2 linked regions of the Xenopus tropicalis genome follow. The protein of the gene in region 2 interacts with the protein of the main gene of each other region in a pairwise test. Links are inferred from orthologs where the notes say so. Each region holds a gene or a part of one and is shown on either strand. Other genes may lie near its edges.

The links.
Region 1: the proteins of gramd1c (region 2) and cd151 interact in binary tests that used the Homo sapiens proteins (3 or more experiments, as listed by UniProt). The link is inferred for Xenopus tropicalis from reciprocal best matches to the Homo sapiens genes GRAMD1C and CD151.

The regions. Positions count from the first base shown.
Region 1 is NC_030680.2:31,254,395-31,258,213, reverse strand, and holds part of cd151 (CD151 antigen), read left to right. Parts: intron 1-320; coding exon of another isoform or gene 321-341; intron 342-1,143; coding exon 1,144-1,248; intron 1,249-1,333; coding exon 1,334-1,492; intron 1,493-3,386; coding exon 3,387-3,473; intron 3,474-3,628; coding exon 3,629-3,688; 3' UTR 3,689-3,819. UniProt on the Homo sapiens protein: Structural component of specialized membrane microdomains known as tetraspanin-enriched microdomains (TERMs), which act as platforms for receptor clustering and signaling.
Region 2 is NC_030678.2:3,306,113-3,310,538, forward strand, and holds the start of gramd1c (GRAM domain-containing protein 1C), read left to right. Parts: upstream 1-1,587; 5' UTR 1,588-1,653; intron 1,654-4,426. UniProt on the Homo sapiens protein: Cholesterol transporter that mediates non-vesicular transport of cholesterol from the plasma membrane (PM) to the endoplasmic reticulum (ER).

The sequences.
Region 1 (3,819 bases), on a different chromosome or scaffold from region 2:
TATTTTACTCTAGAATTACACCAACCAGCAATTCATTCAGTTGCAGTAAGACTAATACAAGCAGCAGTCTGATTGGTTGCTATAGGTAACTATTTTGGAGAAAAATTTATTAGATTCAAATTAGATACACTTTCAACAGAATTTGAATGAATCCCCAAAATAAACACTTGGCATTTCTGGGTTCAAACGATGTTTTCTTACTGAATCAGTCGAAGTTCCAAGCACCGGTTCAGTATCCCTTTCCTCTTGCCCTCTGTCTGTGCATTTATGTTTCTGTGCTTAACTCTTGCCGTGTACCTGTCTCTCCCTCCATGCTGCAGTGCACTCCGTTCTGCTTACAGGTAATGAAAGCTCCTTCCTGATTAGCTGCTTGACTTCCCACCACCTTTCTATCACTGGCTTACCAGAACACTGGCTTTTTATCTTGCACCCTGTATTGTAGGGGATTATGCTAGTTCTTTATTCAGGCAGATACACTTTAAATCATTACAACACTTAATTCAAGTGGCACACAGGTTGGATTTTGGTATTTTGCCTGCTGCATTTTTCAGTGGAAAATCATCACTGCTACTTCCCTTTGACTTAAATATGTGGCAGCTCTAATAACTGATGTTTTTCAACCCAAAAATGGTGTGTTTCAAGGCTGAAAAGCACCATTAACCTGTACTGTCATGTGTTTCCCATTCATGTGAACAAAAGGCAGCATTAGCAGTTGCTGGCACTTTTTTATCAGTTGACATATGCTAGCAGGGTATGACCCCTTGAGCCATAGGCATATTATCTGCTGCTCCCCTGTGGTGCAAATGAAGCGGCAGGCAAAGAGTCCATGTCCACCTGTTACATCTTCTTCTAAACAGGGCAAGCTTTATGCTATGCATACTGTCTTGTAAATTTAATGGACAGTCAATGGGGAAAAAAAAAAGGGTATAGTCTCCACTACAGAAGGCTTTCTGTTAATCAGGCTATTGTTGGGTTTCAGGTTTTAGCTTAGTTATACTTTTTGAGACTTGTGGTTGGCAAGTATATAATTCATTCATTGCATTGCTTGGGAGAGTGTTGGTCAGACAGTTGTACAGTAAGTTACAACTTTCACACATAAAACAACCTTATTCTGTTTTAACATTGTACCCTCTGCCCCCTCAGCTGAATGCAGAGCTCAAGCAGAGCCTCAAGCAAACTATGACCACAAAGTACAAACAGCCAGGAGAGGAGAAAGTGACCAATGCTGTGGACAAACTGCAACAGGAGGTGAGTGTGGGCTGCTCCCTTTCTTCTTGCATGTCCCCCTGGAACTGGACTTATATTTACACTTTTCTTTCTCTGCTCTGCTTAGTTTAAATGCTGCGGCAGTAATAATTCTGAGGACTGGAGGGACAGCATATGGATTAACTCTCCTGAGGCCGAAAAGCGGTTGGTTCCTGACAGCTGCTGCAAGACGGTTACTCAACGATGTGGCATTCGGGATCACCCATCCAACATCTACAAGACGGAGGTAGGAGATATATATATATTTATAATATATGCATGTCATTTTATCAGGATTAACCTTTCTTCAGTAAGGCTTATATTATTCTGAAATACATTAGGGCCTGTTATGCCTTTTCCCTGCTGCACTATGCCAGCCCTTTCCTTAGATTTACTAGTCCTCAGCCTTCCAAACATCAACATCAGCCAGGATATCCTTTCTCATTATCTGCCCCTGTTCTACATCCTTCCTTGCGTTCTGTAAGGTACTCGTAGCCTGAAGTGTTCGCCTTCAGGGATACATACAGGAAGATAATGTAACTGTGCCAAAATAAGCACCAGTTATGCCATTTTTGTACTGGGCATAAGCACATGTGTGCTAGGCTGCCCTGAGCTTACACCAATACCCCAAGCTTTTCTGACACCTGATGTTGGAGGGTCTGGTACCTAAGGCGAACAAGAGACTTTCCACAGCAGCTTTGTTCCTATAAGGAACTGATAACCCTCTGGTTAATAGGCACAGCCAGCTTGTTTGTTTCATATAACAATGACCTGTTACTTCGGGGTCTTTCTTCTCTTGCTTTGTTTTTGGGAATATTAGTTTAGTTTTCTAGAATCTGGTGGTGAAGAGCAAGGGGAACACTGTCTAAATAATGGCTAAGCTTAGGAAGTATGATCTGTGATCTGTGCCAATTTATGGAATAAGGGTGGGTTTATGGTGGGTATTAAGTGCTGCAATATTTTGCTTCTTGTATATTGTAGGAGGCATATTACAGTGTAAAATGTGATGCCAGGTTTGGGTAAGTGCTACATAATACTGTATTTACTTACTACCCTGTGAGACCTTAGAGATCTAAGCTGTGGGAAACAATACCTAAGAGCTATTAATCTGTACTGTATACTATATCTGGATTAGAGTTTACTTTATGTTCACAGATTCAGTGTTGCTAAGTGTAAGGGTATGCAAGTAAAAATATGCAAGCCACGAATACCTTAACGTATGACTATATTAGGCAAATCATTGTTGGAAAAGTACCATAGGGTATTTGTGGGTAATAAACTTGGCTGTAGCAAGCAATGCTGGAAAGGACAAACAACAAGGGGTCATAGATTTTTGGGAAGAGAAGGATTTATAACTGGTAAGGTCCCACCTGGAATATGCCTTTGCAGCATTGGTTTCCAGTTCTAAATGGGATATTACTTAATTAGAGAGAGTCCACCTAATTAGCCTTTTGGCCTTCATCACATAAAAAAAACCATTGATGCTAAACAGAAAGCTTCAACAGTGACACCCCGTGGATGTTTAGCAGTAGTTTTGTTGCACTAAAATGATGTTGTTATGAAAAACTTGTTTAAAATATCGCTAGCGCTGTATACACTCTGAGAAAGAGCCCTTTGTGGAGCAAGTCTTTGGAGATCTGAAATTCAGTTACAATTTTAAATTACAGGTTGGCGGATCCCAAGAAGTGGCCGAAGGGGCACAGAGCCTGTATGATTTAGGCAGACTGTTTATAGGTTACATAGTAGGCTAGCTTGAAAAAAAAACACAATCTGAAGCCTCTCCAATTTGCCTCAAGGAGGGACATATCACCGCCTCTACTTCTTTTGCACAAAAGTACCAAGTGAGGGCCTTTGTACTTTATGCAACTCCACCAGCGGCAAGCAGTACTGCATACAGTGTCGGGTGCAACGTTTTGTGCATCAAAATGCTGCATAACAGAACACGAAAACCAATCCGTATTATTTAAAAAACAAGTTAAACACTGGTAAAAGTCCAACCCTGGTACTGTCTGTGAAGAGCTGTATACCTCCTACGGTACAGCACCTCTGTCTGGCGTCAGTGCTACTTTTATTGTCTTCTGTTTGATAACCTTTCCTTCCTGTATCAATGCCATTTATGTGTCTCCCTTCTCTTCCCACAGGGTGGATGCATCACCAAGCTTGAAACCTTTATTCGGGCTCACCTGCTAATTATAGGTGCTGTGGGGATTGGCATTGCCTGTGTTCAGGTGAGCGACAATCTGGGTATCTTTAAAAACCTTCATGTTCTGCATTTCTTTCTATATTGTTCTACTGTCAACCTAACCCATTTGCTCCATCTTTGCCCCCTTTATCCAAGTATCCTACCTTACATTTTTTAAATTGTGTTTTTTTTCTTTCTTAGCTTTTTGGGATGATTTTCACCTGCTGCCTGTACAGGAGCCTAAAGTCAGAGCCATATTGAAAACATTTAAGACTTGTCTTGTTGCCTTGTTTTTCCCTGCTGACAACATATCCTGCTGCCTTAAACACCCCCCTGGCACTGAGGCCTGTTATGGTCCTATTGTAATGGCAGAATGTTATCTCATATCACTG
Region 2 (4,426 bases):
CCAGTTAGGGGGGGATTTGGGGTGAGTGCTTATTTGTGCCCTGGGTACCCCTGGAACTATAGCAGGGTGACTGTTACCCCAATGTTTCTATATATCTGTAACCTTGTTATGGGCTAAGGGGGCCCAGCCTGAAGGCCAGTTAGGGGGGGATTTGGGGTGAGTGCTTATTTGTGCCCTGGGTACCCCTGGAACTATAGCAGGGTGACTGTTACCCCAATGTTTCTATATATCTGTAACCTTGTTATGGGCTAAGGGGGCCCAGCCTGAAGGCCAGTTAGGGGGGGATTTGGGGTGAGTGCTTATTTGTGCCCTGGGTACCCCTGGAACTATAGCGGGGTGACTGTTACCCCAATGTTTCTATATATCTGTAACCTTGTTATGGGCTAAGGGGGCCCAGCCTGAAGGCCAGTTAGGGGGGGGATTTGGGGTGAGTGCTTATTTGTGCCCTGGGTGACTGTTACCCAATGTTCTGTTTTGCTCACATATATTGAATTGCATGTAGATTATGCCCCTATCCGGGCCCTGGGGCTGCTGTATGCCTCTCCCTGCCCAGCAGTAGTCTGATTTATTCAGGATTTTACATGCTTCAGACTTGCTACTACTGCAACAAATCGGTCGGTTTAGCGCAGTGTATAAATATGGATATGCCCCGCTCCATCTATCGCACTGTAGACATGAGCGTAACCCCCGGCAGTTCTGCACACACCTATGTGGGAACCATAATGCAATACAAACACTAATGTTGTTTATACAACACGTCTCAAAGAGACCCACTCCCTTTCCATGTATTCAGCTTGTGTTCAATTGCATAATGGCCCTGGGCCGTCAGAGGGGTCTAATTATAGTAATAAAGACATGTAATGGCCAAGGTATTAAAACCCCACAACCACCAGGGATTTGCTTCCAAAAAGGTAACCGATAATAGCTGTCTGCTGATTGGTTGCTATGGGATACAAGACTTCCAACAAACTTTACACCCACTTTCCCCATATTTTATAACAAAAGTTAGTGTATATATCAGCAACCCTCCTGCTGCAACTCCCGGCACCTACTGACAGCTGGGACCAGTGGCCTGTTTATCAGGGTTTAAAATGATTAATTCTATTATGTGGCCAATTAAGTGCAGTTTTAATTAAGAGCTAATTAGTCCTGCAAGATGTGGATGTGATATATACCCACTGATGTGAGAAGACACACGGAGCTACTAGTAGCAGCTACTGAAACAGATAATGCTGATCATTTACTGATAACTGTGTGTTTTAGCAGAGGCAATTCTCACTATTGTCTATGGCAGGGGATTTTCTGGTGTTTAGTAGCTGCTACTAAGTAGCTCAGTGTGACTTCACCCCAAAGGGAGTTGGCCAGCATAGTCCTAGATAATGCCTGCCCTTACACCTGCATAACTGCCCGGGCTGCCTTGCCCCGTGGGATCACGTCTCTCTTTAGTTGTGTATAAAGGAGTGCCGTGACTTTAAGAGAGGGTTCACCTGTGCAGGTTTCCTGTGGGCGGGGCTGTGAGACAGAACTGCACTGAATTGTCCGTCTTGTAGCCCAACTAGGAAGTCACAACAGTGCTGGGTGCAATGGTAACGGGCTAGTGGCATCGGGGCTGGCTACTGGATCTCCTCCATGTGACTCCTGTCATTGCTGTCAGTAAGTACCCCATGTGAGTATTATGGGGGTGAGTGTGGCTGGGGGCCGGGGTAGCCTTATTGCCCAGGCTGACCAATGGGGGGGCATTACAGCTGCACCAATTGTGTTTCTCATTCTTATTCTGAGTCTGTTTGAGAGAATTTCGCCGCCCATTTCTGCAACTTGCAGAACCGCAACAATCACAACAACATTCCTGGACACTCGTGTGTATGTTGGACAGTGCCGGGGGCTGTAGTTCAGCAACATCTCAAGGTCCAAGGTTAAAAAACAAAGCTTTAACCCTTTATGCCAATGTGATATCCCTCAAGACCGGCAGTGTATAAGCATAGTTGTTAGCTATACCTGGGTTTGCTGGTTTCTATAGTTACCTGCAATTTTTGTGCCAGGTTCTATCCCAGCGATGCCATACATAGCAGCCTATGGAGCCCGCGCTTGTGTGCCAGGTTCTATGCCAGCGATGCCATACATAGCAGCCTATGGAGCCCGCGCTTGTGTGCCAGGTTCTATGCCAGCGATGCCATACATAGCAGCCTATGGAGCCCGCGCTTGTGTGCCAGGTTCTATTCCAGCGATGCCATACATAGCAGCCTATGGAGCCCGCGCTTGTGTGCCAGGTTCTATGCCAGCGATGCCATACATAGCAGCCTATGGAGCCCGCGCTTGTGTGCCAGGTTCTATGCCAGCGATGCCATACATAGCAGCCTATGGAGCCCGCGCTTGTGTGCCAGGTTCTATCCCAGCGATGCCATACATAGCAGCCTATGGAGCCCGCGCTTGTGTGCCAGGTTCTATGCCAGCGATGCCATACATAGCAGCCTATGGAGCCCGCGCTTGTGTGCCAGGTTCTATGCCAGCGATGCCATACATAGCAGCCTATGGAGCCCGCGCTTGTGTGCCAGGTTCTATCCCAGCGATGCCATACATAGCAGCCTATGGAGCCCGCTCTTGTGTGCCAGGTTCTATTCCAGCGATGCCATACATAGCAGCCTATGGAGCCCGCGCTTGTGTGCCAGGTTCTATGCCAGCGATGCCATACATAGCAGCCTATGGAGCCCGCGCTTGTGTGCCAGGTTCTATGCCAGCGATGCCATACATAGCAGCCTATGGAGCCCGCGCTTGTGTGCCAGGTTCTATGCCAGCAATGCCATACATAGCAGCCTATGGAGCCCGCGCTTGTGTGCCAGGTTCTATGCCAGCGATGCCATACATAGCAGCCTATGGAGCCCGCGCTTGTGTGCCAGGTTCTATGCCAGCGATGCCATACATAGCAGCCTATGGAGCCCGCGCTTTTGTGCCAGGTTCTATCCCAGAGATGCCATACATAGCAGCCTATGGAGCCCATACACAGACAGTCTTGGGGGGCACATCCGGCCCGTGGGCCTCCAATTAAATAGCTCCGATATAGAAGAAGCAGTGTAATTGGTCACTTACAGTTAACATTTTGAAATTGATGTAATTGGAAATATGTTTTGAAAACCTAAACTAAACCTTACATTGCCTTTAAACTACATATCCCAGCATTCCCCCCAGACTGGTATATGACTTGTAAATAAAATTAGTTTCAGCTGTGACGGTTACTCTCTCATCGCCCCAAAGCTTTATAACCATAAGCCTGCTGCAGACTACACTGGTGTTTATACGGCCCTGTCTTGGAATTGCTAAGTCAAGTAGATTGGTCTTAACTGAAAGAGGAGGCAGCCCCATTCCCCAGATGATGTCTATGGTGCACCCCAACCTGCCGGTTATGCAGTCTCCTCTCCTGTAGGGGGACTTGCCTCGCTTTCCCCTGTTATTTCCTGGTTAAACCCAACAACCAATACATTAATATCGTCAGAAATGTTATGTGCCATAACTCAGGGATAAAGGGCCTCGGCCCTAAAACTCCCATGCCCCCGGTGGTTCCAGGTGTAGCCGCACCCAATGTGCCCCAATAGTTACAGCACTGATTCAGTATTGGGGACATAGCGGAATATGAGGGGTTGTTTATGACCCCAGGGGCATAAGGGCACTTGGGGGTACAAGAGCACAGCCCTTAGTGCTTATCTACAGAGCAATTGTGCCCCCTACATTGCGCTCTGCACTCAGTCCCTGCCTAAAGCTGCCCATACACGGGCAGATAGCGAGCGGATCTTTACCCGATATCCCAACCTACGGGTGGGCGATATCGGGTAACATGTAGGCCCTGGGGCCAAATAATCTAATTCTAACGGCGGCAATGGGCCAGTCGGTTCAGGGACCGCAACGAGCCGATGCGGTCCCCGATCCGACTGAATTTTCTAACCTGGCTGATCAATATCTGGCCAATTTCAGGCCAGATAAGGGTCATCCAGGCCCCTCGTTTCTGCCCCTACACGGGCCAATAAGCTGCCGAATCTGTCCAAGGGACCCATATCAGCAGCTACAATCAGCCCGTGTATGGGGACCTTTAGGCAGTCAGTAAAGGGCTCCAAGTTTCCTTTGCGAGGAAATGCCCCCCCCCCATGCCAAACAATCTGAGGCTCCGAAAGTGGGGGGCCACTTCCATTGTGCGTCTGAGCCTTTGGCGGCCACTTCTGCCCAGATTTTAGTTTGGCCAAATTGAGTCCAACGTGTGCCACCTGTGCTGTGTATTATTATTATTAACACTTATTTATAAAGCGCCAACATATCCCGCAGCGCTGTACAATAAGTGGGTTTCATACACTGGACATACAGAGTAACATATAAAGCAATATCGGATACCTTCCCTCGTAATGACTGGGTGCTCCCTTCCCTCCCAGGCACCCCGTGATGG